3 linked regions of the Drosophila melanogaster genome follow. The protein of the gene in region 1 interacts with the protein of each later gene in a pairwise test. Each region holds a gene or a part of one and is shown in the gene's direction. Other genes may lie near its edges.

Region 1 (7,215 bases):
TTGTTCGTTTTACTTTTCAAGTACTAATGGTACAGTGTGACCAAGGGTCACGTTTGCGTTTAAATAATTATTTTTAAAATACTGAAACTCGCGGGCACTGTGGGCCACTTCTGCGTAACTGTTCCTAAAAAACAAAATAAAACGGTTATGGTTGTATTTATAATAAAAGCACAAGAGAATGCTATAGTCGAGTTCACAGATACCAGTTAGTGTAAATGCGAACACGAAATTTCAACATTTTTCTGGGAGGGATCTAATATCTAGGGGAATAAAATGAGCAAAAATTTTTCAATTGCGTCTTTAGGGCGTTAGAGCGGCGTGGTAAAAAGTTTTTCGGCAAATCGATAGAAATTTACAAGGCTAATAGAATTTTGAAAAAATTCGAAGAATTGTTCAAAAGTTTGAGCGTGGCGTTTTTTACGGCTTGAGAACGTAAGAGTGGGCGTGGCAACATGGTCTATGTCTCTAGAGGCTGTATGCTGAATCTGAACCTTCTCGCTTTTATAGTTCCTGAGATCTCCACGGACATGGCTAGATCGACTCGTCTATTGTTCCTAATCAAGAATATATATACTTTATATAGTCGGAAGCACTTCCTTCTAGTTGTTAGATACTTTTCAACGAATCTAGTATACCCTCTTACTCTACAAGTAACGGGTATAACTAGGCTGTATCCCAATCAAGAAATTTGTATTTCCATTTGAGATTTTCGGATTAGATTAAGATTAAGTTGTTTATAAGCTAAATGTTGAAAATTTTCTTCAAAATTAAAATTTAATTTTTTTTTTTTAATTTGAAATGCTACCAGCTCATCTAAAGAAGCCTCACAACTCCTGCAAGCAGAGCTACGCTGGTTTCTTCTTTGGAAAATTAATGTCAACGCCCTGAAATCTGCGCAAATAACTTTTGCATTAAGAAGAGATGACTGCCCACAAAGTAATTGCATAAAGTACCTTGGCTTGCACCTCGATCCCAGACTAACGTGAAAAAACACATAAAAGCAAAGCGCCAGCAACTAAATCTAAAAAGTTTGAAGATGACCTGGTTGCTGGTTGCCGAAAATCTGCAACCACTCTGGAAAATAAAGTCCGTTTATACAAAGCCATACTAAACTTATACCAGCAATTCAAATATTTAGATTCTACAACGCTACCAATCAAAAATATTAAGACAAATTGTTGATGCTCAATTTTTATTTCAAATGCAAGTATCCATAAAGACTTAGGAATCCCTTATGTTAAAGAAGAAATAGCAAAACATATTAAAAAATATATAGACAGACTAAGAACACATGAAAATAACTTAGCCTTAAGTTTGGTAAAACGTAATAACAACGTCAGAAGACTTAAAAGATTTTACGTGCTAGACCTCCCTGACAGGTTTTAAGTATTAAAACATGTTATGCCTAGAGTATGTAGTAGGGATTAATGGATAACTACTGCCTCTGTTAATATAAGATTAATTATAAAATGTACTTATTGTCATACTTTTTTAAGACAGATTGTAAATAAAAAGAGAGAAAAAAAAAACTTAGATGGGAGGTAATCATTCCAAATAATTTTCCAAGATCATAGTCATTTTAATCACAACATTTAATCACAACATTATTATAATCACATATTTATTATGGTTCTAAACATTTTCAAAAGTGGATATTTCCCATATTATTAGGATATTTCGTGAATATGAATTATAATAATTTTTAATGTTATGTTATATTTTATGTTTATATAATTTCCGTATTTACCCTATTTCGCCGTTTCATTTTCGTTGACAACTCGTTGTCGTCGTTATCTTGACGCACACCGTTATTCAACACTTTTTTCCTCTGAACCAATATGGCGATTGTGTAGATCTGTGTGCGTCGTTTTTGCAAAGTTTTGTGAAATTCCACGCGCTCCTCCTTAAAAAAAAAACGCTTTAAACACATTCTTCAGTAGCAAGCAGAGACCCAATCTTTCCCTTGACTTTAAACGATCTCCAAGTAGTCAATACAGCACGCAATAAGCAAGATGGTGGACAAAATTGAAATGAGCCTCGACGACATCATTAAGTCCACACGCTCGCAAAAAAAGCCGCAAGCCGCCCGCGGCGGACCAGGTGGCGCCCGAAAAACGGGCGGACAGCAGCGTTTTGCTGGTGGAGCCCGCCGCGGCGGAGCCAATGCCGGCGGCTCGCCCAGGAAGCCAGGAAGCGTGCTCAAGGGCCCGCGAGGAGGAGTGGCCGCCGGAGCCGTTCAGAAGGCCAAGTTCCCACGGGTAATTCATTGCGTTTCAATGGCCAAACGGAGCAGCCGGAGCAGACCATCCCCGTGCTCAGTTCACCAGGACAGAGCACTACCAAAGCAAGTGTCTTGCGGCCCATGATCCGCACAACAGTGCTTGGAAGCGAAAAACAGACTCAGAATCTAAACCAAAATCAAAATGGCCACCATGCGCCTTCCAACGGACGGAACAACTCTTCGAGCCCGAGCAGAGCCTCAAGTTCAAGTTCCTTTAACCCCGTTTTTACAGAATACCAAACAGACGACACCTGTGTCTTAACTTATTTTTCCTCACGTCTCACGCCTCACGTTTTCCACGTGAACCATACCCAGTTAACAAGCATTTCTAGTGTCTCCGCTCAATATGGCTGTCCTCTCTTGTGGCTAGGATACGATGCAACTGCTACTGCAACGGCTACTCCCGCCACATACATATAGTTGATACGCGCAGCGTTCGAAGACATACCCATCTACCTTCTACCTAATACTACCCCCACCTCTAGGGCGATGTGAACAGCGCTTGGAAGCACGATATGTACGACGGACCGAAGAGGGGTGCCGTCGGTGGAGGATCTGGACCCACCCGCCTCATCGTCGGTAACCTGGACTACGGCGTATCCAACACGGACATCAAGGAGCTCTTCAACGACTTTGGTCCGATAAAGAAGGCGGCAGTGCACTACGATCGCTCCGGTCGCTCGTTGGGTAAGTGCTAGTACTACTCCAGCTACCTGTCGTTAGGTGAAACATTTCGGTACATGCTGTTCATAAAATGGCGGCAGAATGGTTCAGTAACAGACATTCCAAGTAATATAAATCGGCTTGAATTGATAACAGATCAGATCATCCGATGAAGCTGCGGTTTTTATTTAGTATTTTGATTTATGCCGAAATTTAAAGCTATTGCCATGTATTTGATTTATTCACTTTTCTTTGCAGGCACCGCTGACGTGATTTTCGAACGTCGCGCCGACGCCTTGAAGGCCATTAAACAGTACCATGGCGTACCTTTGGACGGACGCCCTATGACCATTCAGCTGGCCGTCTCAGACGTGGCCGTGTTGACCCGTCCCGTAGCCGCCACCGATGTCAAGCGTCGCGTGGGTGGTACTGCACCAACTTCATTCAAGCGTGGTGGTGCGTATCCAAAATGCTACAGCAGGGACCGTGAATGATGCCCATTTTCGTTTATTTTTACCACAAACATCGTTCATTTAAAACTATTTCAGATCAATTTTGGATCTATCCCCATTCCCACAAAGATTTTTAAATGCCTATTTATTTCGATTACCTAGTATGTCTTAGGTTTCAAATTTTGTTACTTGACTTTTTATACGAAATACTTTCCTTTCTTTGTTATGTTTTCTTGTCAACAGCTTTTGTAATTATTCAAACTTTTGTTTCGATTTAATACGATGTTTGTTGGGTAAACTACGTTACTAGGTCAGTTCCACATATGAAAGCTTACCTTTCTATAATGACCATGATACGGTCCCATGACGATCCATCCTTGCTCCAATGCTTACACTATCATTCCGAACTGTTTTTTAGGTGGCCAAGCTGGTGGCACGGCGCGTCGCGGCTTCAAACGTCCGGTCGGTGGCAAGCCGGCGGCAGGCGGCCAGCGACGGGAGCGCAAGGCCCCGCCCACTGCTGAGGAGCTGGACGCCGAACTGGACTCATACATCAACGACATGAAGATCTAAATAGTGAATAGTCTGAATTAGTCTAACAAGAATAGAAGAGCAGCCCAATCTATAGTTTTAAGCCTACCATATGGACACCCCCCGCATGGTACATAAATGCAAACGCATCGACAACGCCGCGCCCAGGAGCAGATCTTTGAAAGCATCGGACATCAAATCAATCAACCACTTGCGCATTTATCCATTAATTGTTAGTTTTGCCAATGCGGCGGATGTTAAGATAACTGAAATACATTTGATGCTGTATTTATTGTATTTAGAAATGCGCTTTATCAAGTTCGACGATAAATTGATGGACCTTGTCAAATTAAACTGAATTGTAATAAATACTAGAATTAATTTCGTGACCAAATCGAATTGTATTTACTGACTCAATAGGCTAGGAGTATTGTTTAATTACTAGGCGGCGGCGGACTCCGAAGAATCTCCATCAACTTGCAAAAATAAAAGAGCCATCACTTACAATTAAATGTTTTATTTGGAGTAATACATCGATGGTTATATTGGTATTCGTTTGGACGAATTTTACAGACTATAAGAAGATTCGATTGGACACTTTAAGTACAAATGCTAAATTAGGCTTAGTAGGTGGTAGATTTTAGCAAAGTCAATCCATATCATCCGTATTTGTGGGGCGGAATCACGAGTTACTTAATTTCAACAATTTCGTTAGACATTTTAAACCTGTTACTTAGACAATAGAACAAATGTGGGACATGAAAATGAAAGGGCGAAAGGAAGAACGACTTGGAGTGCTGCTTGGCAAAATATAATCAGTTTCCCTTCTTCTTCGGCTGATCAGCAGGTTAATATAGGTAATGCGCCTCTAAATATAGGTGTATACGTATGTTATAAGCGAGTTATGTATATTTATAGTTTTATGATTCTTATGTCGGTCTGAGGATGTGATGGTGAGTCATTAAATGCTTGGCAGCTGCTTCTGCTCCCGGGCACACTTCCTTCCCTCCTTCCTCCCTCTACCAGAATCCGCCCGACGAGAATCCGCCGGGTGGAACTCGGCCGCGTGCCTCTCCATTTGTGGCCGCTGGTTTGTTCGCCGGCTCCTTGGGCTGGCTGGGTGGGGCGGACTTGGCCTCCTCCTTCTGGATGGAGACCTCTTCGCGAATTTTCTCCACCACCTTGTTGGGATCCGTGGAGCCCATGCAGGCATTGAGGTTTGAGGAGTTCTGTTGGTTGTACTTGGCACGCGGGGCGGGAACGGCCACGTCGGGCTCCGAGAAGATATTGGTGTGTCCGCCGCCTGGGGGCTTCAGCACTCGGCTGGAGGGACGGGCACTGGTGGTCAGGCCGATTTTCAGCTCGGTGGATGTCATTTTGTCGCTGCTGGTTGTGGTTTCAGTGACTGCAATGCATAACAATGAAAAGTGAATCAGATGCGGTCGGAAATACGAGTACCCTAGACTACAAATTCAGTCACGCCACTTGCGGATGTGACGCCCGGCACAATGACGCCCGTCATCCGACATCACCCCACCACTGGCAAATCTTGGCGAAGTGGAGTGAAAACGAGAGACCCATTTGTTCTGCCCTTCTGCCACCTTATCGACGGTTTCTCTACACACATATGTATGTATGTATGTATATAGAAACTCATCTATTTTTCTTGCTGCGCTGCCCTCAACTTTTTAACTTTGCCGTTAACTGTAATTGCGCGTTTTGTGGCTGTCGCACTTTCGTTGTTGTTTTTGCCATTGTTCATTTCTCCGTTTTTGTGTTAGGCGTTCGCACAGTGGGCTCAAAAAGTGCGTTTGGGCATTGACCATTGACTACAGTTCAAACAATAAAGTCCTTTGGTGATATAAAGTGCCAATAGTCAGAGTGGTCAATTAAGAAACTAATTAAGTTAATAGAAAGTGGGTTATATGTATATATGAAAATAATATGCTTTACATATCATCTATAAAACACACTTCCTCGCATCCAAGATGCAAATGACAAATATTAGTTTCGTAATGATTTTTTGCCTCGCTTATGGCGGAAAAGAGGTCGCCTCCCAGGCGATGACATCTGAGGCAAGTGCGGTGAAGAAGCATTTGTAATGATGCGTCATCCGCTGGGGGAGGCACATTCCGCCCAACTCCCGCCTGGGGTGTATCCCATTTGGGGTGGCTGTTGGCGACAACAACAAACACAGGCCACACACACTGGCAATTTTGTTGGGGTACGGGAAAACAAAGCAATGTGAATGACCGCACCGAGTCAAAGATCTCTAGATTAGAAGGCTCACAAGCGATTTCGATTCCCACAGTTGAACGCTTTCCACCTGGGCAAAAAACACTACCAACGTACTGCACAGAACAAAATACGGTCGCATCTAAATTTATTATGATGAATCGAATGGATATCTAAAATTTTATTTACATAACTAAAACAACACCAAAGAGAGAGAGATAGATATAAGGCGTAACAATGAAAACAAATTAGCTGGCAAAAAATGACATCGTACAAGCATTTTCTCTCAGTGCAGAAAGGCAATAACAGAGACTGATTGCCGTGTTCCCTTTCCACTGTACTTGTTGTTTTTGCTTCCCTAGGGCGATTGCCGGCTCTCACACACACACATCTGCATGCATACGAGAATCACATTAACTGTGCTTTCTACTTGTATTGGTGCTGAAATTATGAGTAATGAGCAATCTGGTTAAAACTCGAAATTTCGGCCTGCTGCCATCGCCGCGACTTGTTGACCAAGTGAATGTTTATGGCCAAAACACATTAGACAAATCCAGTTTCGGCAGACCTACTTAAAACGTATCATCGATTAGACTAAAAACGGCGATGCACACGGAAACTGGCCGACCAGAAAGCGAAGTAAACAACAGCCACTTCAAGAGCAGGCTACTGAGATTCGGTTCAAACTGCTTTCGGTTAGTTTTTCGTACCTAGGTGCATGCAATAATCGCCTGACTAAAGCGAAGCACTCAGAACCCGAACAATATGGCCGCCCAAAAGGAGCGGCAGCCGGAGATTGCCCCGTCGTGGGCCATAGCCCAAAAGACCGAGCCACAAACCGGGAATCTTCCACTTCCACAGAGGATGTGTTATTTATAATGCATATGGCAGCTGTGCTAAATAAAATTCAAAAGCAGCTGCACTCACACAAACGCACGCACACACAGACAGCGCTTGCGCTCGGTGTACGAAATTCCATGACACAAGTGAAAAGTGTTGGTCTGCGAAAATATTGATTTATCTCGCAAACCCGCTGTCAACCAACTATCTGTG
Region 2 (10,053 bases), 4.2 Mb from region 1:
ATTTCTTTTAATTAACAAATTTCAGCAGCTGGCACGCGGGCCTGCCAACTTGTCATGTTTGCTCAGGCACTAAAAATTGCCATCATTCTGATTTAAACTTTTTTTTATTTTTGCGGTTTTTCAAAAAATAATTAATAACCAAATTTACATAAATTAAAAACTATTTTAAATGTAAATGTATTATAAATCAGCTGCATAGTTGCTAAATTGAGATATTTTCAAACATTAATATTAGTCCAATTAAAGTAAATTAAATGTTGAGCCTAACTAAATCTTATTTCATTCGCCCTCCTCGTCCTTCATCATCTGCTCAATGAGTCTCTTACGTTCCTCAGCTTGGCGCAGCTTTCGCATGACCAGGTCCTCGTAGTCGGTGGATGACGCACTGCACCCAGTGGTGGCCGATTTGGTTGTCTGCTTGTCTGCCGCCGGCGGCGTTACCCACTCGAAGTGCAGCGGCTTGGCGGGATCGCCTTTTTCGTAGGCCAAGACCATGTCGCAGGCTTCGCGCGTGGCCAGCTCCACCATGGCGCGTCCGCGTCGCTTGCTGTTGACCACCAGGGCCACCACGTCGCCGTACTTCTTCAGATACTTGAGCAGCTCTTGCTGTGTGTAATCCTGGCCAGGTTCGGCCTTCCACTTCATCTTGATGCGATGCTGGGCGGAATCAAACTGGACCGGCTGTTGCTGCAGTTTCTGTTGCTCCGCGTGATTCCGCCGGAACTGCTCCTGCATGGCTCGCTGCTCCTCCTCCAGCAGACGGGAGCCCTCGCGTCGCAACCGCTCGATCTGCTCATGCAGCACCTCCTCGTCGCTTTTGGCCACCGTGCTGTAGGGTTGGCTCTTCGCCAGTTTGTGCAGTGCCGCCCGTTCACGTTCCTCCAGTTCCAGCTTCAGCTTCTGCCGCTTCCCGTCCAGTTGGCGACTCCTCAGCTCCGCCGCCTTCTTGGCCTTCAGCACTTTGTCATAAGCTGCGCGCGCGGATTCATCCGTGAGGATCTCCAGAGCCTTGGACAACTCATGGAAGCGCTCGACTGCCTTCGGATTGTCCGGATTCTTGTCGGGATGGCACTCGAGGGCCTTCTTGCGGTACGCCTTGCGTATCTCATTTTGATCAGACTCGAGAGAAATGCCCAGAAGATCGTAAAGATTCACGTCACTGTACTTTTTGCTAGCCATTTAGTCTTATTTTACTCCTTATTCAACAACTGGAACATGGGTTTGTTTTGCAGTTTGTCTTTTTTGGGCAAAAGTTAGCTAAAATATACTATTTTATACGAGACTTATTTCACAACTGCAGCCGGCGGTCCAAAAATGTCCAAATAAAACATTTGCAATTGTTTACTGGATCAGCTGTTCGCTGCAACGAGTTGGCAGCCCCGCAACACAACGTGCCCATTTGTTTGGCGTGGATTAATCTAAGTTATCGCAAAAAAAACTCAAATATAATATGACCTTTAGGCGCTGAATTAAGCTGAAGGTACGTCATGAGCATCTATCACGACGAGGTGGAGATCGAGGACTTCGAGTACGACGAGGAGGAGGAGATGTACTACTATCCCTGTCCATGCGGCGATCGATTTCAGATCTCCAAGGTAACGAGTCGTATACGCAACCTTTTTTTTTCTGGACTCCCCATATCACTTGGTAAATTTCCACTTTAGGAGGAGCTAATCGAGGGCGAGGAGGTGGCCACCTGTCCCAGCTGCTCCCTAGTCATCAAGGTCATATACGATCCGGTAAGTGACTCATTCAGAAATACACCTAGAACTCCCCAGAAAACTCAAGCAATCTGATTTTCCGAATTTCAGGAGATGTTCAAAGCTGAGGAGGATGAAGAAAGTGCGCTGAACGAGAAGCTCGGCGACCTGAAGCTCGAGAAGAACTAACACACAGTTTGGTGTAATTAAATAGTTTTTATTTATATATTTTTATATATATATAGACTTCATTTTAGTGTAAATAATACGATGACTAGTAAAACAATGATTTCAAATTATGCAAGCTCGCAAAAACAGTTTCGATTCGTTATGGATTATTCGTTTTGGGTGAATTACAAAGGATTTATACACACATTCTAGAATATCTAAAACTAAAACACTCATATTGCACCGAGTACACTTTGTTATATATGTTTTACAAGCGCGGAGGACAACAATATGATGATAATCGAACGAAAATTTGGAAACACAAACAAGTTAAAGGAACGTCAGCGTACCAGCTGTGGAAATGTGAGTAGTACAGCGAGTTACATACAATGGAAAGCGGTTGGAAAAATATATAAATAACATACACCTACCACTCTCACTTTCTGCTTACGGCTTAGGAATTCGACTTAAACTTAGCACGAAAATATTGTTATGGTTCGCCATGCAGTGTTTCTGTCCACTGCATCGCATACTGAATCATCTCTGCCACCGATCTTTTCCTTTTTCTTTTAGAGAGCGTGCTCGTTCAGCAAATGAGTGGAGGTGGACGACGTGTCCCGATCTCCTCCAATATACGCGCCTAAGTGCTTCGCGAGTGAAAGGGACGAACTGCGTCTACTCGATCTACTGCTCCAGCCAGGATCCAGTGACGGCATTGGGTGACTTAAGCTGCGGGCCACAAGAGGAGAAGTGAAAAAGTGAATGTGCGAACGAAGTTTAATGGGAGCACTCTGCTCCCATGTTTCCATGCTCACTCACCTTTATGTTGAACTGCTTCAGAGTGCTCTCCAGTGCCATGGCATTGCCCGAGAAGTAGGCAGCGATGGCATTGTGCAGCAGAATCAATTGCTTGTGCATCACTTTAATCTATCGACGGATAAACGGATTGGATCAATGGTTAGTCTCGCTAAATGCATAGGTAAGATCCATTTGGCACCACTTACGCGATTCTCGTCGAGAAATTGCATTTTGACGGCCACGTCCGAGCGCAGCTTCTCATATTGCTCCTTGTGCTGCGCATAGCTGCGCTGGGTCTCCTCAAGAGCGACGGCCGAGGGCGTCAGCTCCGGCTTGGTGTTCTCCAAATCCATGCGGTAGGCATCGAATTCGATTCTAAAAGGCAGGAGGACATTACTTCTACTACATATAATTCTCATGCCTTTTTATGAAACATACGATGGCTTTAGGAAATAAAAACTTATTGCCATTGTAGAGATTATCATGGAATGCGGTTATGACTAATTGATCCAACGTATTTAAATTTTTTCAAGGAAATAATACGATAAGCAATGTTTCAAGCTTGTATACAAGGCTAGTTTAAAATGCATTTCTGATAAGAGCTGTGTGGCACAACACTTTTTATAAAAAGCCACACACATGCTGAGTTTAAATTAAAATCGAAGAGATCGATGATGATTTTTCCTTCGTTGTTGCACGACAATGAAAGGATATAGCTTTGGTTACCTGGCCGTTTCGTACTGTCGTATCGTCAGCAGCGTATCGTCGATCGTCTTGTTGCACAGTGTGTTCACCGACGAAATAAAGAAGTTGAGCGCATTAAGCAGCAGCTCGCCGTTCTTGGTGAGATTGCGCTGCGTCTCCGAATTGCACGTGAACTCTTTCTGCAGCTCGGGGTTCTTCTGGGCCAGATCGGCGAAGGAGTCGGCCAGGGCGTGCTGTGTGACGACCACGTGCTGGAAGTGCGAACTAAAGGCCCGCGTTAGCCTCAAGATGGACAGATACTTGCGCTGCGTCTCGCGCAACTGCTCTATCTGGGCCTCCAGTTCCGAGTCCACGGTCCGCTGCGACTTGCCCAACTTCTCCAGCATTATCTGTCGCGTACACTTGTACGTCGATATACTCCAGTTCTTGAGACTGTCGATCTTGGAGGCGCTAGTGCGTATAATGCTGCCGCTCCCGCTGTCCGTGGGGCTCAGGATGCCGTTACCGGATGGTGGACTACTGGGCGACATGGGTGTGGTGGGTGCTGCACGAAAAGATCGATGCTGAGTCAGTTGGTCGCTAAATCGAGGACTCGTAAATAGTTCACCTGAATGGTTTCTTAGTGGCAGGCTGCTGGGGGCGCCAAAGGGGCCGCCGACACCAACTCCAACGTTGCCGCCACCACCTCCTCCGCCGGCGATGCTGTGGCTGCTGGCGCTTCCAAGGATCCCGCTGCCGCCTTCGGTGCCCGTGTGCACCGCTCCGCAGCTGTCGTTCAGCGAGGGCGCATCCTTCAGCATTTCGTGAATGCTGCGCTCGCGGTCCGTCATAGCTATGGCCGTCGTTAAGTTAACCGCCCGTCTCACCGAGTAATTGCCAGCGGAAAATCCTCCTGTCTGCCCGTTTTGTGTGGGGGTGTGCCCGATTAGGTGTCTGTGTGTGTGTTTCTCGGGCAACGGCGCTGGAGGTTTCACTTCGATTTCCACGCCGAAATCGATGGCGCACGCTGGGCGAGTCGAGACTTTAGTAACCCCTGCCTGGACTCGTCAAAATTCTCAAATCCCTAAAATTCCGCATAAAGTTCATCAAACTGTGTTCACGAACTGAAAATCGGTGTGACTGTGCGCGAGTAGGTGGTTAAATGCCACACTTGGACTGCTTGGATACCGGCTGTGCGACACGGTATTTTAAAGGCGGAACGGTGGAGTTTGGAACACGGGGAAGTCCTGTCCTGCAGGTCAAGTCGGTGGGACGTGGTTTGGCGGGACAGTGACTGCTGCGAGGACTCTCCTCTGCGGCACCAGCATTAATTTTTAATTCATTTTCATATATATTCTTGATCATGATCAATAGGCCAGTTGATGTGGCCAAGCAATTCTATTTGGATTTTCAGTGCCGACCAGTTGCGGTCCCACTAAAGTGGAAATTTGATTTAATTTTTGGGGATTTCATGGAAAATCTCTACTTATTTCTATTTCCACGTTACTTAGGCCAATAGCCAGCGGAAAATGGTCTACGTGAATCTAATAATAGGCTTGGGCCTGGTGTCCGTTGCCGCTTTCGCCTATTTCAATTGGCATAACGACCGCAGTTCGCCTTACTCCAGGTGGGTGCTATTAAATGAGCGTCGAATCGTGGGCAGGTTGGTGCCTTGCGATTCAAAGCTAAAATGTTGGCTTAAATCCCTTGTTTCATTGCAGGTCGCCGAATGGCAGGTGCACCTTTTGCCAGTATGAACTGAGTGATGACGACCGGCGCCGCATGAGGTGTGGACATGCCATGCACAATCTCTGCTACTTGGTGTTTCGCTATTCCCATAGAAAGTGCCTCGAGTGCGATAAGGTGGTTAATGTCAATATAGCCGGTGACTTGTGCACGATTTGTTTAGATCCCCTAAGTGTTTACACCATGGTGTATCTGCGCTGCAGCCACGCCTTGCATGAGAAGTGCCTCCACCAGTACCAGGCTAATGGTGGCCGCCACTGTCCGGTCTGCAGAATGGGAATTAAGGAGTAGGTATCACCTAGTGATCATGCAGCCAGGCAAAGCCATATATCAGCATAAGCGTGCACTTAATGCAAGGCTCAACGAATTTTATATATAACATTAAGTCGAGAGCAAAGAAGTCTGATTAAGATTTTAGTTCTGAAACGAATAAAAGTTAGATTTCTTAAAAGATGCCGATTTCAACCAAATTGTTGTTTAAAATGAAAGAAAAGTATTGGATGCGTCTATGCTTTTTCAAAAAAAAAAAAAATAATACAATTTTATATTTTTGTTTTGAATTGTTCAAATATCGTTTAGCCAGTGTGTACACACCACGCACATGCACTTAGTAAACAGACAACAGCTGATGTGCATCTTCATTATCTCGCTTGCCATTCACTTGAATGTAATGCATCACAATAATGTTGAGTTTTAAAAAACCTTTTTAAATATCGTTTGGTTTGCTCAAAATGTCTGAGTTGCGATCGATTTGCCGAACTTGTGGCAAAAATGTGACCAATTTGCAGGGTCGGGCTACCAAACTGTTCAACAAAAGCAACTATCACTTTATTAGTATACTGGAAAATATCACCGATATGTATGTATGTAAGTGAATAAAACTAAAGTATGCTGTCTATTTAATTGATTTAAATGATTGTTTAGCTCGAATTTGACACCACTCTGCCACATCTAATTTGCCAATGTTGCAAAGTGCAGCTGGACAGGATCTTAACATTTCGCAATAAGTGCTTGGAGGTCCACAAGTCTTTTATGGCCGCTAACAGGAAACTTTTGCGAAAAAAGGCGATAGTTGATGAGGAACTCGATAAACCGGATGTTGAGAAGCTACAGCAGGATTTGTGGGACCACACGGATCAGGAAATGTGTGTAGCAATGGCAGATACAGCTGGGCTTCTGCGGGAAGATCACAATGATAATGAGAAGGCGAAGGACGCAGAAGATGCGACTCAGAATGAGAAGAATCAGGAGGAACAAGTACAAGTACAAACAGAGGAGGTGGAGCACTGTCAAGAGCAGCTCCATAACATGTCCATCATCTCGAAGGGAGTAAGTGCCCGTGTCCCCAAGCGTACGAAGCGCAACTCCAAGTCCTGGTTCTGTGACCAGTGCGGCGGCGTCTTCAAGTCCTCTACCTACCTCAAACTGCACCTGCAGCGACACAGCGGTCACAAACCGTTCGCGTGCGACATCTGCCAGGCCAAGTACTACACGGATAACGAGATGCGGCGCCACAGAATCCTTCACACGGACGCCAGACCGTACGCTTGTCGGTTCTGTAGCAAGACCTACCGAGGATGCAGCAGTAAAGTGGTCCACGAGCGGACCCACACCAACGAGCGTCCCTTTCAGTGCCAGCATTGCGACAAGGCCTTCACCTCCACGTCGACGCGTCAAAAACATGAGATGCTGCACACTAATCAGCGGAAGTACCAGTAAGTAGGAGCACTAGCTGTCCTCCGTAAAATATGTGCAAACTGACTGTATTTTCCAGCTGCGAGATCTGTGACCAGTGGTTCCTGCGCTCATCCCATTTGACCCTACATCAAAGCACTAAATTACACCAGCGAAGAGCTGAAAGTGCTAGGATTGTCTAGAATTCATGTGGACTGCTGAAAGTACAAGTTTATTATAAGATTCCTAAATTGAACAAATTGATTCTATTTTTGATTTGATGGTTCTAAAAGAAGAAATAATCAAAATGTACACCTGTGACATCAAAGGTTTTCGACTTTTCGCTCTGCAGATACAATGGTTTATTTCTTGAAAAAAACTTGTAACAACAAATTGAGATTTTGAAAATCGGCGGAATGGCCGCGTTGCTGGGCGAATGTCAATTCGAAATCGACTATGCGTGGGGCTGAGAAATGCGAATGCCGCTTTTCTTGTTCTTCCGTCCAAACAAACCGAAAAAGATACACTTCCAATCGATCGGGGTGCTGCGTTATCTCATTACACAAGCCATGAGGTACATTTGCAGGACCTGTTCTCGTATGGCTGATCCTGCGGTAGCCAAGAATCTCTTCGATCCATCGAGTTCTTCCGTTTTGCGTCAAATAGAGACTCTAACTAACTTGCAGGTGAGTGCGTTAGCGTTTTGCGAAAATAAAAACCGAATAAATGCCGCGATCTGTAATCACTTTGCAGCTAAAAGAGGACGGCAAGTTGCCCAGGTTCATGTGCCAGGACTGCCAGCACGACCTGCAGATTGCCATCGATTTCCGCCGCGTTTGCATCGAGGCCCAGGAGCTCCTTGAACTTCAGCTAAGGCAGGTGGAAAAGGAGGAGGAGGCGTTCGAGAGCCTGGCGGAGCAATGGCTGGATGATTGTCCGGATGAGTTGTCCAACTTGTCGCCAGTGCTACAGCTGAATGATCGCATGGATTTTATCTTCGATCCCGAGCCACAGGATAAGAATACGGATGAGTTGGCTTCCATAAAGACCACGACAACAACAGAGTATATGAATGCATACCAGTCAGTGGCCAGTCCGCAATCTTCTCCAGAACTTTCAACAGATAGCCAGTTGTCGAATGAGCACTTTGACATGGGCCTCTCTCCCGAATCAGAACCCGAAAGTGAAGCTATCGATAATCGGGACACTTCCTCCAGCCACACGTGCAGCAAGTGTGGCCTCGAATTCGAAAACGTGGACGAACTGAAGCTGCACAAATACCATCTGCACGACATCCCGCCAGATACCAAGTAAATAATCATATTTTAGAGGCATGCTTGCATGATTTTCCCATATTATTCGTTCGAAACTTGTAGAAATCCTAAAAGATCTGAAGACGTTCCGTCAGGGCACAAAATATGTTTAGTTTACATTGCTAAATTGGCTATTAGCTAGCTCTCACATTCATTCCGTATTAATTGTCTTTTGTTTTAATTTTTATTTAATTTTAGAACGATTTTCCATTTTATACGTGCTGCTCTGATTGGAATTAAGGAATCCTTTAAACCCTATCACTGAATGACTAGAACAACTTATTCACAGTATGAGAGAACCTACCAATCAATTGCCACAATTAACACTTTAATTATCCTTGTAGATTCGTCTGTGACCACTGTGACGAGGGCTTCCGATCAGCAGCCGCACTTACGCGGCACTGCAACATGATTAATCTTCCATTGACGGTAATGATTCCATCTAAAATGTTCAATACCTTTCATAAAGGATTGTATTTTGAAACATTTTTTTTGCAGCACTCCTGCACCAAGTGCAAGAGCCAATTCCACAATCACATTCTGCTGGAGACTCACAAACAGCGGTGTCTCAGGCCGCCGGCGTCCCAGCATGTGTGCCACATATGTGGCAAGCATCTGACCACGGCCTTTAATCTGAAGAATCACCTGGTTCGCCACGCGGGCACACGACGCCACAAATGCGACCAGTGCAGCGCATCCTTTTATACAGCCGCCGAACTCTGTTCCCATCAGAAAACCCACACAACCGAGCGTCCCTACATCTGTCGCTACAACTGTGGCAAAACCTTTCGCTTTTGCAGCGCCCGCAGCATGCATGAAAGGTAGAATTTCAGACGAATCTCCACCGTCACTTAGCCCACCATCCCCACTTACGTGACCCTTCCAATATATTCCGCAGGGTTCACATGGACGCCAGCAAGCGTATCTACCAGTGCGAGTACTGCCCCAAGTCGTATGTAACACCCAGCGAGTGCAGGACACATCAAAAGTATCACAACTTGACTCGCGATCACGGGTACGACTTCCTCCCAGTTCTTAAGTATTTGCAGAGAATGCAAATTAGAAGGATTTCCATTATTCGCAACTAAATAACGAATCTATCTTGCATGTCAAACGTATTTTTTGTTTTATATGCAAAAAACGATTGTGTGCCTATATATTCCTATAAAATATCAGCAGTACTCTGTTGAATATGATATGCTGCAGTTCAATGTAATCAAATTACTTTTTTGAAGCCTCATGCTAATGAGTAAAACATTTTTTTCACCCCCAATCTCTTCCAGCTGCGAAATCTGCCGCATAAGCTTCAAGACAGCCAAACACTACAGATCCCATCTGAAGTCCAATGCCCACAAAACTCTGGAGGCGCGTGCTAAAGCTGCTGCATCCCCCAATTCCCGTGGAAGAAATTGTTCAACGAATTGAATTCATTATTGCCAGTTGCATGTTAATTATATATACCGAATTGATATTAATAAAGCTTCCGTTCCGCGTTCATGTTTAAGATCCCAGCATCTACTATCACCTACATCGTCTGTGTGTTCTCGATGACCTTCTCGTTGTCGTAGATCTCCTTGGCGTAGCACAGATTGGGGTAGTCGTAGGCAGCTCCATATCGGTTCTTGCAGCCGGTGGTTGCCTTCTCTCCCGGAGTGTAGACAGGCTGACCCACAATGTTCGATGTGGCGAAGTTGCAGGTGAGTACGAAGTGGTTGTAAAAGTCCCGGGAGAAGCGCACGGCCGCACATCCCACATGGGTGTTCTTCTCGGCCACCGCGATGGTGAACTTGGTCACCGCCTTGTTGGGAAGCTCCTCCGGGAAGCTGGCGAGGATCTCGGGAGATGCATTCGAGCGCTCAGCAAACCAGTTCTCGATCTGCTCCTTTATTATTTCCGCATCGGTGTACTCTGTCTCGGCTCCGCTGTACTGGAACAAGGCGTTGTTCTGGCCGGCGTAGGCGAATCTCTCG
Region 3 (12,183 bases), on another chromosome or scaffold:
AATGATATCGTATTTAGCATGCAAATTATTACCACTTTTTCTTTTGTTTTTTTCCGGACACTATATATTTCTGCAATTAATTTTAACCTGATCAGCTGATTACCCCTGTGTAATCTCACCCAGTTGCCAGTAGCTTCGGTTTGTAATTTTCTGCCGCCATCCTGCAGCCTGGCATATGGTCAATTATTACACACAAAACATTTGTTATTAATGAGCAGGACAGAGGGCCAAAGGGATCGGGGTGGACACCATTGCCGCAAGTCGATTAGACCAATTAGTGTGGGTATTGACAATTGCGGACATTGCAATTAATTAATCCAAATGTAAATGTCCACTGCATATGCACGAGCACTGGTCGATATATGGCCAATCTGGAACCACTAATTGCGATCTCTTCGCCCTCGAACATTCGCTTTGATGTGATAATGGCCACCGATGAGGAGTGACCTCTTTGGGTGGTCCTAAGCTGCCGTCTTTCCTGGCCGAGATGGGATGCGATGGGACGGAATGGGTGAGTAGTGCTCGGAACACACGATTGACACAGTTATTAAAAACGACATGTAGAATTGGCATTCAGGCATGCGGGCAACGACATGGCCGTCGACATACTTAGGCGCATAGTTTGACAGAGCCGAGAAAAGAGTGGGCCTGTGTACCCAAACCAACCAACTAAACACCCCCCACCCAAGCCCACTAACTTGGCTGACAGGCGTGCAAAGTGGCCAACAGCAGGGTGCCAGCCAGGGCCCTCGTCGATGTCGATGTCGAGATGGCATGCCACTGGCACTCAAAACGGAAAAGGAAACATTCCCCGAGATTTCATCGGAACAACAGGGGGAAAGCGTTAAGGAATTCAATTAGGCAGATGAGTGGCCATATGAATGTGGGCGTAAGAGTGTGCACCGCCCGTTGGAAAAGTGCTGGCCAAGTCAAAGGCAAAAGTCAGAGACATCTGACACTTCACATGCTCGGATGAGGGCGCCTTATTGGCCTCAAGTTGTGACTAAGCTGATGTTGCTGATCCCAGAGATGAGTTCCAGAGGCTTAAGGGCCCAGCAAATTTTCAATACACCCACAGTACCATCGAAGAACGGTTTATACAAGTTAGCAGTTATGCAGCATATCCTTCAAGGCAATAACACTTGCGCTCTTGCAAAGCTCACTTAGAGGTGCATTTCATACCACTTTTAAGCAAAGGATTTAATGGAAAAAGATTTTCAAATAATCTAGCATTATCTTCAATTGTCAAACCACTTGCATCGACCGCTTCATCGTCTATTTCCACCACGTTGCAAGCAAACCAAACATTATTCATGATCTGGTTGCTTTTGAGCGTTGGTCGTGCTTTTCTGCAGTTTGGCGCTCGTTTATCATTCATGTTTCTGCATTGAGACTTTGTTCCTCGACTCTGTTTGCTCAGCAAATGTTGTGGTGGAGTTCCAGCGGGCTTTGAGTGGGAGGCTCCACGGGAGGCCAGCTGGGAGGCGTCACCGTGGCTCGAACTCAGCTCAACTGAAGCGTTTTAATTGCTGCATAAATATTAGCTTAAAATTAGCTCATTGTGCACTGGATAGCGTTCAGCTCAAGTTGAGATTCAAACTCTATCGCGGGCCTGTATGCCTGTATAGATATCCGAGTTTCGGTTTCTGTGTGTGTGTGTGTGTGTGTGTGTCTTGCTACAGTCAATTACCACATATTTGTCTATAATTAATAAGCTCTTCCCATGGGGCCCCAGATTTGTCCCGCTGCAGCTAAGGCTTTAAGCAAACAGCAATCACTTCTAGCGAATCTTCAGTCGTCTGCGAAGTTTCCCTTATTCAATTTGGTAGTTTGTGCTGGAGTTCCCTCTTTCAGAACTTCTGACGCAACTCTTGCAGTTGAACAACTCTCGCAGTACGTTCGATTTTCGTTCGTTTATTTATTTATGCCATTTGCTGCACAATCCTCTCAATTTTCCCCTCCGCAGGTAATAGCTTTGTGTTTGCCCTTGTCTATTTTTTTTACGTTCAAATTAATTTGAGCTGCACGAAAAGAGTGCATAGTTGTTCATGTATGCATCATGATGGCATAGGAGGGGTAATGCCAGTTCACGTGCAAAATGTAACATTCGAAACCACTTTAAAAACCGAAAACCACGAAAATTGCATGGTTGCCCCCCGGAATTTGTGGAAATTTTCCAGTATTAGGCACAAGTACCCTAATACTGGGTACACACACATTATAAATTTGTAGTCCAACTAAAAATGAGTATTCACTCATCATTCACATCCTGGAAAATTCACATAGATATCTCGAGTTGGGTCTACAAACATTCTTTGACTTGTTAGACTCCTGTAAATGCATGAATACAGCAATGATTATGCAAATCTTTAAGAACGTATCACTTTAAGGACCTTCACACGCTACTTTGGGTGTCTTTTTTCGAAATGCACTGCATCTGCTTGGAATGCAACATTGACACTCCCCTTCATCCGCCGCCCACTTGGGCTTGTCAATCAAGACGATACTCTTCCTTCGTTAGGGGAGCTTTCTTCGACACTTTGTGAGATGTTCGTGCTGCAAGGACACGCTAAACGTATGCAAATCATTATGTTAATCGGGTACCATCAAATTTTTTGGCGTCATTCATCACACTGAGCCACACTTTGCACTTGGTAATAGCAGCTTCTCACTCGCCCGCTCCATTATCCCCTTCTCTCCAGCAGCTTTCAGCCCCTCCTTTCGTAGTAGTAGCCCATTCCCAAACCCTTTCCAACATCCTTCTGGACCACTGCTTGCTTTGCTCTTGCTGCTGCTTAACGCCCGCGTGGCTAAGCCAAAATTTACACAGGCACAGCGAGTTTGGTCGTCAAGGATGCTTGGTTATGCTGAAATTTGCACTTTTCCGACACACACACACACATGCAGTGAAAGGCACACACACACACACAAGGATATACACACATGTACTAGCAGCAGCATAAGTAAACAAGTTTAGTATAATCAACGGTTGGCTGCCTGCCGGGCTATACAAAAAAGTGTTGCACATCGGCTTACAAAATCCACACCCGCAACGAAGCCAACCTGCTCCCCCCACCCCCCCCCCCTCTTCCCTTCATGAGCATGTAGATGACGTAGTATATGTTTTTATTAGCATGCTTTGTATGCCCTGTACGCTGTCAGGCTCACGAGCAAGTCGGGGCTGGGCTGCATTTATCAGCGGAATGGGGGCAGGGGTTTTGGGCAGGATTCACCTGTCTCACGGCGCTCGTAAAACCACATTACCTGTGATTTCCGAACACAGGATGGCTTGTTCATCAGCGTTGCAGTCGAGCACGGGCACGAGGACGTAGCGATTGGGAACGGGATATCTGCCGGTGGCCCTTTGGCGCCATTGTGCCACGTTCATTGAATGTTTTTCTATTAATTTTTTATTGAATGATGCTTTTGCCCCACCACACAGCATACTTCCACGCAGGTTGGGAGTGGCTCATTCCCTGCGGCGGCATGCTAACTTTATTCAATTCCTTCGCTGCTCATGTGGAACACACACTCGATGTACCTCTCAACCTGTCCCTCTCTAACTGCATCCAGCGCTCCCTTTCTATCTTAGTTACATTCTCTATTTTCAGCCGGACAAGAGAAAGCTGTGTAATGTGGCTGAAAAATTGCTAGTACTCAGGATGCAACCTAGTCGAAGGAATGGCCATTAAGTACACTCGAGGCACAGATACCCTTGAATTGGATTAGGATTTAGGATTTAAACATGCAAATTCTAATAATACAAGCCATAAATTTAAATAAAATACCAAATTGTTCACTTTTCTCAAAGTTTATTAAGTCACAAACTTGTTAACTTTTCTGTGGTGGCTTGTGTTCAAATAAAACATCATATGATTAACAGCAAAGGGATCAAAGACTCGTATTAAATAAAATGTTTTCCCTATGGTATCTTTGGTAATCTCTTTGGTATCTCCCAGCTCCGTACACTCTATCTGTACCCCTAAACTCCCGCTGATAGGGCAACAAATGATCAACATGATGTGAAACATTTTGCTAGTTCCTTAAACTGAACAAAAGAAGACGAGTTGGGGGGCAAGTGGGGTCTGGCAAGCAAGAGTTCGGCAAGCTGGTTAAGCCTGGCATGCCACTCCATTTGGAAGACGGTTTTTTTTTACGGTTCGCCACAAGCTCATAAAAAACCTCCAAAATGGGTGACACACAAAGGAGTCGCACATGCACACACACAGCCACACCTTCACTTACATGAAGGCAATGAAATAAACAAAGCCGCAAAAGACACGAAAACCTCAGTGGAGCGAGAGAGATGGGCACATGGTGTGCGAAAGAGAGGGAGAGATGTTTCAGGAGAAAGAGACAGATGGTAAGCAAATTGCTGAGGAGTCCAAAAGCCGGACCGACGTCAAAATTATCGAGCAGCAGGTGTGCTCTTCTCCGTTTTCCCCATTTTTCTTTTTTTTCTCTTTCTCACTCTCATTGTGCCTCTCTCTTTCGCACATACTGACCCTCTCTTTCGCACACAGCCACTGGCATTATTGCTTTTGTGGCTTTTCGGTAAATATTTTGCATAAAATATCAATTTGATATGCAAACGGGCGAATATGTGAAAACGTGCGACTGCAATGACTACTCAGACTCTATGAAATTTAAATAAAAATCTGCAAGTGTAAATTTAATTAATTACTGAACATGTTTTTCAAACATAACTCTTTGTATTCACAATTGGCCGGAGGCCAACATATGTACATAGCTCGCTCTAAATAACGTTGCATAACTTTTGTAGCCGCAACTTTGAACAAGTCAGCTACGAATATCCTTCGGAAAAATGCAAATGATGGTTATTAAAATTCCAGGAAAAGGTCTTTATTTGGCACACCCACTCTAGATTAATTGAGAGCAGTTAAGGTGACATTAAGCCGAACCCAAAGGCAAAGAACCCAAAATGCAAATCGGGGGGAAAAAACGCTTGGAGATAATGTGGCCTGGCAAATGGCTATTTCACTCGATTTCGTCTAGTCCCGGCGATAAATTTCGAAAGCAGATTTACTTGTTGATTTCCCACGTAATTGAATTACTCGCGAATAAAGTGCGGACCAAATGGGTCCCGACATTTTCCTCCCAGAGGGCAAACAAATTGGGAAAAAAAAGGATTTTTGGGGCCAGCCCAAAAATTAATTTCATTTTGGTGTATTTACAGGGAATTTTTACGCTAACTTTTTGGTACAAAATACACAAATTTAAAAGGAATTTAAAAGGAAAAATGCTTTGCTCTAGCCCAAATGTCAAGGCTACAGAAAAAATTATATCTATCACAACTTGTTCATAATCATAACCCTTGCGGTCTTGTATAAGAACATGCCATTGTCCAGTCAGGCATTTAAATGTTAAAGTGAAAATAAATAGATAGATAACCAAATAGAATGTAAACAAATAGGTAAACAACGTGTCGCACCACTTCCACTTGTGTTGGGTATTTATTTGTTAATACGATATTTACGCCCCCCTAAATGGAAATGGGAAAATTTCCAATCAAAACAGCACAGCCAGTGTGGTAGTGGTAACCGTGTCACGTAGCCTGTTAACGGATGAAATAAATATTTCAGGCACAATTTCAGGGGCGGCAACGGCATCCACTTAGCTTTCTTTTTTTTCTTTTTTTTTTTGCCCCCAGTGGCTGCTATAAAAGTTGGTGCAACAACGAAATCCGGTTGAAAGACCAACATGGACGCCAGCTACTTTGCCGTCCAGAGAAGAGCTCTGGAAATAGTTGGATTCGATCCCAGTACTCCGCAACTGAGTCTGAAACATCCCATCTGGGCCGGGATTCTCATCCTGTCCTTGATCTCTCACAACTGGCCCATGGTAGTCTATGCCCTGCAGGATCTCTCCGACTTGACCCGTCTGACGGACAACTTTGCGGTGTTTATGCAAGGATCACAGAGCACCTTCAAGTTCCTGGTCATGATGGCGAAACGAAGGCGCATTGGATCGTTGATTCACCGTTTGCATAAGCTAAACCAGGCGGCCAGTGCCACGCCCAATCACCTGGAGAAGATCGAGAGGGAAAACCAACTGGATAGGTATGTCGCCAGGTCCTTTAGAAATGCCGCCTACGGAGTGATTTGTGCCTCGGCCATAGCGCCCATGTTGCTTGGCCTGTGGGGATATGTGGAGACGGGTGTATTTACCCCGACCACACCCATGGAGTTCAACTTCTGGCTGGACGAGCGAAAGCCTCACTTTTATTGGCCCATCTACGTTTGGGGCGTACTGGGCGTGGCAGCTGCCGCCTGGTTGGCCATTGCAACGGACACCCTGTTCTCCTGGCTGACTCACAATGTGGTGATTCAGTTCCAACTACTGGAGCTTGTTCTCGAAGAGAAGGATCTGAATGGCGGAGACTCTCGCCTGACCGGGTTTGTTAGTCGTCATCGTATAGCTCTGGATTTGGCCAAGGAACTAAGTTCGATTTTCGGGGAGATCGTCTTTGTGAAATACATGCTCAGTTACCTGCAACTCTGCATGTTGGCCTTTCGCTTCAGCCGCAGTGGCTGGAGTGCCCAGGTGCCATTTAGAGCCACCTTCCTAGTGGCCATCATCATCCAACTGAGTTCGTATTGCTATGGAGGCGAGTATATAAAGCAGCAAAGTTTGGCCATCGCACAAGCCGTTTATGGTCAAATCAATTGGCCAGAAATGACGCCAAAGAAAAGAAGACTCTGGCAAATGGTGATCATGAGGGCGCAGCGACCGGCTAAGATTTTTGGATTCATGTTCGTTGTGGACTTGCCACTGCTGCTTTGGGTGGGTTTTTAGTAATGGATTATTAAGGCATACTTAAGATATTATATCTTGCAGGTCATCAGAACTGCGGGCTCATTTCTGGCCATGCTTAGGACTTTCGAGCGTTAGCCCATCAAATCGAAGCTTGAGAATAGTTACCTCTTAATGAACAAAAATGATTATAATTTCTTAATCAATCAATAATCTTTAATAGTCGAGTACATTTATTTGGAAATATTCATGGGCAAGCGATCCAAACATCCACAACCCAACTCCAATCAGTTGCCATTTGGACGAGCATGTTTTTGACGGGCTCAGCTGCCCCGAAGGGATCTCATGCCCCAGGTTGATGCCACTGCAGGCAGATGGAGGAGCATATGAAATTCATGAGGGCATTCCACAAAGGCAGCTAGCGAAGCCAGCTCATGCGTGTGGCCATGATGTCAGTCGTGTGTGCATATGGGTACTCGTATGTATTGTATGTATATAGATGTATACACCAGGTAGTCGGAATTTGTTAGTATGAAAGTACGAAAGTATGCAACATCAGCAGCATCGTTCAGGTGGGGAACAAGTTGCTGAAAAATAGCTACTCAAACTATGTGCACCATGCTGCTTGCCAGCCAATGGCCTCGGGCTCCTTTTTCGACTCAGCCCGGGTCTTGAGCTAGTTTCGGGGCTTCGGGATCAGGATCAGGTGGAATGCGGACCTAAGAACCCTGCCCTTATCCTTCGTGCCTTGCGGAATGTTGCCTGCTACGGAATTTCTGGCTTGATGTTGCCGAGATTCGAATTCAGTCGGAGGCTAAGTCGCTTGAACGGAATTTGTTTTATTAAATTTTACAACTCGGTATTTTGCACATGCAAAATGGACTCAGTATTTCGGACTCCGTGCACCACCGTTTTACCAAAAAGCTGTGACAAATTGTGCGGGCGTGGAAGCCAGGCACCTCGGATTATGTTACAAATTACGACAGCGCTATTGCGGGCATAATTAATTTTTGTCTCTGACATTTGATTTATTGGTCTGCGTTGGTCAGCATCTTTGGCTTGACTTCGAAAAAACAAATGAGCAGCGATTAATAAGCGCGAATCGCTCCTGGCCATTACGCACCTGCGGCACAAACAGCCAACAAAATTCGAGCATCAACCTGCCACAGCTAGCTGGGTTTGCTGGGCGGTATAACTTTACAGCAAATTGTGGCCAAGATAAGAGCGGATGGCCAAGAGCCACAAGCTGAAAATAGTGGTGAAAAAAATCACCATTTTATGTGTATTAAAAATGTGAACAAAAACGAACAGGAGCGAGCACAGATTTTGTTTGCGGTTCGTTGAGCACACAATAATTCCATCAGCATCAGTGGCAGTAGGAAAAGTGGGCGTGGCAGGCGTGTGTGGGCGGTGGGGTAGAGATAAAAGTGCTGGCAGCACTTTCGCTGCATTGCTTTTTTTGTTTTTTTGCAGTTGTTGCGGTGTATTGTGTGGGCAGTGCCACGAGGCGAATGGTTAATAATCGAACAAAAAGGTCCTTAAAGCTGTCGCGCAGTGAGCAAACGTTTATGCAAAGTAAATTGATATGCAAACTGCAAATTTCAATGGCAATTCAAACTTAAATGTCCTAATGCAGTTTTATCTTTGTAAAACAAAATGGTGGCCAGCTGGTAGTTTCCCGCAAGCATTACCCCAGGGCTTATGGTTTGCATTTAACCAACAAAAAATCTAACCTAAAGTTTTACAACAAAATTGATTTTTCAATTTCAAAATGAATTGCCTGAAATGAAGAAAACAAAAACTATCAGTATTTTAATGCGAAAATTGAAATGCCAAGCTTAAATCAAGTTCGCAATGCGGAAAAGTGGCCAAACACTTATTCAATTCACCCGAAGTGGAAATTCAAATTTTCGAACACAAATGCTAATTCAAATTAAATGGAAAAACCCAGCCGTTTTCACGGTAATTCCACCTCTTTGGCCACCGGAAAATAGGAAGCACAAAAAATGTCCCACTTTAATCGGGCTTGTGTTTGCCAAAGCTATATTTTCATCTGTATATATGTACAATATAAATGTATAACATATATTTTTCGGTTAAGCATACAAGGCGGCTGTGCAGGGCCTTGATGAAACTTTTCTAATTAAAATTGTGCGGCTTGTTGAAAGGTTTTTCCAACGGCGAGGGGCCGGCGAAGGGCGGGCGCGGAGATAGCCAGTTTTAATAGAAATTACATTAATTAATATTTAAAATATGCTTAAATACACATTCCTATGCATTAATTAATACGGGCTGGCGGCACACATACAGCGAGTAAACAATGAAACGTGACTGGAACTAACAACGAATTGCGCCATAAGCCAAACGTTGGCAGGCAGGCACTCCAACTCCAGGACTAAACGGAGATTTGACTAATTACAGCACGCCCCCTAATTTCTTGTTTATTTGGTTAAATTTAATTTCAAATGCCACAAATGCGACAATCGAGCTGAGCCATGGGGCAAACAGTAGCGGTGATTACAATGTTTTATTGACTGTTTTTACCCACATAATTGCCACAGATTTGGACATTGTCCAAATCGACTTGTTTTCCCCTCGAGACGAGACGAGTCTCCCCACTTCCGAAATCGCTTCTCCCAGTCGCTATTTTCGTCTCCTCAGCTCAGTTTGGAAACTTTGATTTACGCCACCCGTTCCTAACCCACTTTTATGGGACTTTGTGTGACCCATTTGAACATTTGGCTTGCAGCGGCTCCCTTGCGAGGATGTGGATGGGAATGTGGATGCCACATGCATGACAAGCACTTATGCAAATTATATGGCGCACTTATGTGCGGGCAGAGGATTCGACTTTATTTGTCGGAATTTCGATGGGATTTTCAGCAGCAAAATTAAAATAAAACATAAATGTATAACAAACTTTCACTAAGTGCAAGCGGGTTCAAGCGAATAATGGTCATAATTTTTTTGCGAGATAAAATATTAATACTGAACTCGACCAGAAATAGTGAATTCTAAAATGATTCCATATATGTCATATAGAAACATATTAGGCTAATTAGTTGTTAAAATTATACGTCGAATGAATCATTCAGAACCATTATTCGGTTTTTTTTTGTTCTGGACATTGATTCACACGACTATATGTTTTCCTTTTTAAATGTAATTCATACTTTTAAGCTAAACAAATAAATAGACGCCCAAAGTTGCAAGAAAAAAAAAAAAAAATAATTTAAAAATTTAACAAACACATAAATATTTGCAAGCACACAGGAAAACGATTGGTTAAACACAAATTTTTCACATGTTTGGAACCAGAACATTCTGGGCAGAAATCAATCAACATATTTGCACTCTTTCGAAAGAACGTTCTGCACTTAAAAGCATATCAAAATTGAAATTTCAGTAGGAGCAGAGCGCGAATGGTAATTAAAAACCGAAAATGTTTTTCGCCTTCTTCCTGGAATGTCATTAAATAATCAGCATGGCGGCTATCATTATCCGTCATTCGCAACCAAATACAATAATTAATGATGCCACAGAGCCCGCCCAAATTGCAATTACCTTATGCATAATTAAATTATAATTCATTAGACATGAGCCCTTGCTGTCTAAATCACAGCACTTAAATATTACCAATGCGAAAAACCATCTCGATACGTAATCAAATGAGACTAAATCAATAGGCTTAAAATGGGTCTTTAGCCCCTACAACATTTTTTAAGCACTTTATAACGAGCAAATTTTTCTAAAGGGGGTCTTGACTCGACTCATTTGGGTAAATCAACTCGATGGCAACTCGATGCTGAGATGCACAGATAAAAATGGTATTGTGATTATACAACATTTAGACGGGTAGTTAAGGGGCGAAGCTGGATGATATGGAAATTGCAAATGCCATTGTTTGTGCCGAAGTGGGACTGTGAATGTGAAATTGTTTAGAGGCGACGCGCGACAAGAAAATCGCAGAGCAATGGGCGGGGGAAATGTTTGAAAAATGACTTTTCTTCGGCACTGAGAATCCGCTCGGCAATGAGTCTGCCATTTTCTTGTTGCAATGTCGCATGAGCTGGTGATTTCTTTTGTGTACATATATTGTGTGTATTGCTTATTGGGTGTGGATTTGAAAATGTGTACTTTATAATGCGAATTCAATTATTTTGGCAAAATCGGTTTTGTTTTTCTTGTGTACATTACAATTTTGGGATCCACTCCGGCCTTTGGGTTCGCCTTCGTCGACCTCATTTTCCTTTCTTCGTTCGTAGGGCTCGTCCTTTTTCCCAGCCGTCTTACAGGATATTTTCAATTTTTGCGGCAGGATATTGCCGTTGCTTTATTTGCCGTGTGCGCTTACTGTTTTAATTATCTTGCCTGATTTGATTTTCCATTCTTTTTTAATTAATTTCGTTTGAGCATAGTTTATTTATTTATGCGTTTTATGGGCGATTTTCAGCATTCGATTTCCACGCGCTTGTTGGTTTTTGCTTGTTTTTTCTTTGCTGGCGAAACCTTTTTAATCATTTGTTTTACAAAAATGTTTGCGGCTGTTTTTTCCCGTTGGTGTTTTCGGTTGTAATGATATTTGTTTTTTTTATTTATATTTGTTTTATTCGGTTGTATTTTTTTATTTACTAATAAAATGCATGTAAGTCAGTCCGTCGTTTCAACATTTTTGTGTCTTGTATATTTTGTTTGTTTGCTGCAATAAAACCATGAGCACTTAAGTTCGAAACTCGATACTGGACCATCGACTATTTTGGCAGCCAGCCGAGGGCAAGCAATCGAAAACCAATTATCGTGCGAAAGTGGCAGCCAGCCGTGAATGTTGCTCATGTTGCAACAACTGGGGGGAACAACAAGTGCATGTTGCACTTGCTGAGGACAGCCGCACCCACCAAGCTGCCACGCCTATTTCGCCACGACAATCCGCTAACCATTTGCACTTGGCCGCCACCGTTTCACGCACTTGCTGCTCGAGAGTACACACACTAAACTGGTGGCTTAAGTCGGGGGATTCTAAATATATATATATTTAACGATTGAACTTTCGAATATTTTCTCGAATACTTTCTAAATGTTCTTCAGCCCGATTTCGAAACGTTCCAAGTCCCAGGCGTGCACAGCGCTCGGCGCTCAAAGGAAAAGACAACTTGATCACAGCATGGAAAATGTTCAACTGACCGAGTGGCTAGCCTGTAGACCAGCAGAGAAGCTGCGGCTTTATCAGTTCGTGGCTCGCATCGCTCGGCCATCGGACCGTTCGGCAAGCTCGTCCTTCGGCTCGGCACGCAGGACTCGCGTCGCAGCTTCGTGACTCGTGCGGCGTGCGTCGTGCCACGAGGTTCGTTGTTCGGGCCGTGTTCGCGGTCGTGTCCTGGGCTCGGGAAGCAACATGTTGGAGCCGCAGCA

What was found.
Region 2: the proteins of Ref1 (region 1) and CG31441 interact in a two-hybrid assay, tested with the Drosophila melanogaster proteins (one large-scale study listed by BioGRID).
Region 3: the proteins of Ref1 (region 1) and Or45a interact in a two-hybrid assay, tested with the Drosophila melanogaster proteins (one large-scale study listed by BioGRID).

Annotation. Positions count from the first base shown.
Region 1 is NT_033777.3:7,075,007-7,082,221, reverse strand, and holds Ref1 (RNA and export factor binding protein 1), read left to right. Parts: upstream 1-1,834; 5' UTR 1,835-2,012; coding exon 2,013-2,258; intron 2,259-2,766; coding exon 2,767-2,968; intron 2,969-3,202; coding exon 3,203-3,400; intron 3,401-3,814; coding exon 3,815-3,969; 3' UTR 3,970-4,318; downstream 4,319-7,215. Other genes in the region: CG1943 (uncharacterized protein), read right to left, coding at 4,947-5,303.
Region 2 is NT_033777.3:11,230,530-11,240,582, forward strand, and holds CG31441 (uncharacterized protein), read left to right. Parts: upstream 1-5,756; 5' UTR 5,757-5,827; coding exon 5,828-5,959; coding exon of another isoform or gene 5,960-5,963; intron 5,964-6,020; coding exon 6,021-6,811; intron 6,812-6,870; coding exon 6,871-6,973; 3' UTR 6,974-7,095; downstream 7,096-10,053. Other genes in the region: CG17187 (uncharacterized protein), read right to left, coding at 280-1,179; Dph3 (diphthamide biosynthesis 3), read left to right, coding at 1,488-1,595, 1,665-1,739, 1,812-1,889; Arfip (arfaptin), read right to left, coding at 2,553-2,597, 2,688-2,795, 2,873-3,041, 3,393-3,915, 3,979-4,201; CG17721 (uncharacterized protein), read left to right, coding at 4,880-5,013, 5,072-5,387; CG31388 (uncharacterized protein), read left to right, coding at 7,340-7,456, 7,524-8,080, 8,428-8,512, 8,582-8,904, 8,982-9,098, 9,367-9,508; scpr-B (SCP-containing protein B), read right to left, coding at 9,609-10,053.
Region 3 is NT_033778.4:9,339,701-9,351,883, forward strand, and holds Or45a (odorant receptor 45a), read left to right. Parts: upstream 1-5,648; 5' UTR 5,649-5,721; coding exon 5,722-6,804; intron 6,805-6,858; coding exon 6,859-6,912; 3' UTR 6,913-9,163; downstream 9,164-12,183. UniProt on the Drosophila melanogaster protein: Odorant receptor which mediates acceptance or avoidance behavior, depending on its substrates. The odorant receptor repertoire encodes a large collection of odor stimuli that vary widely in identity, intensity, and duration.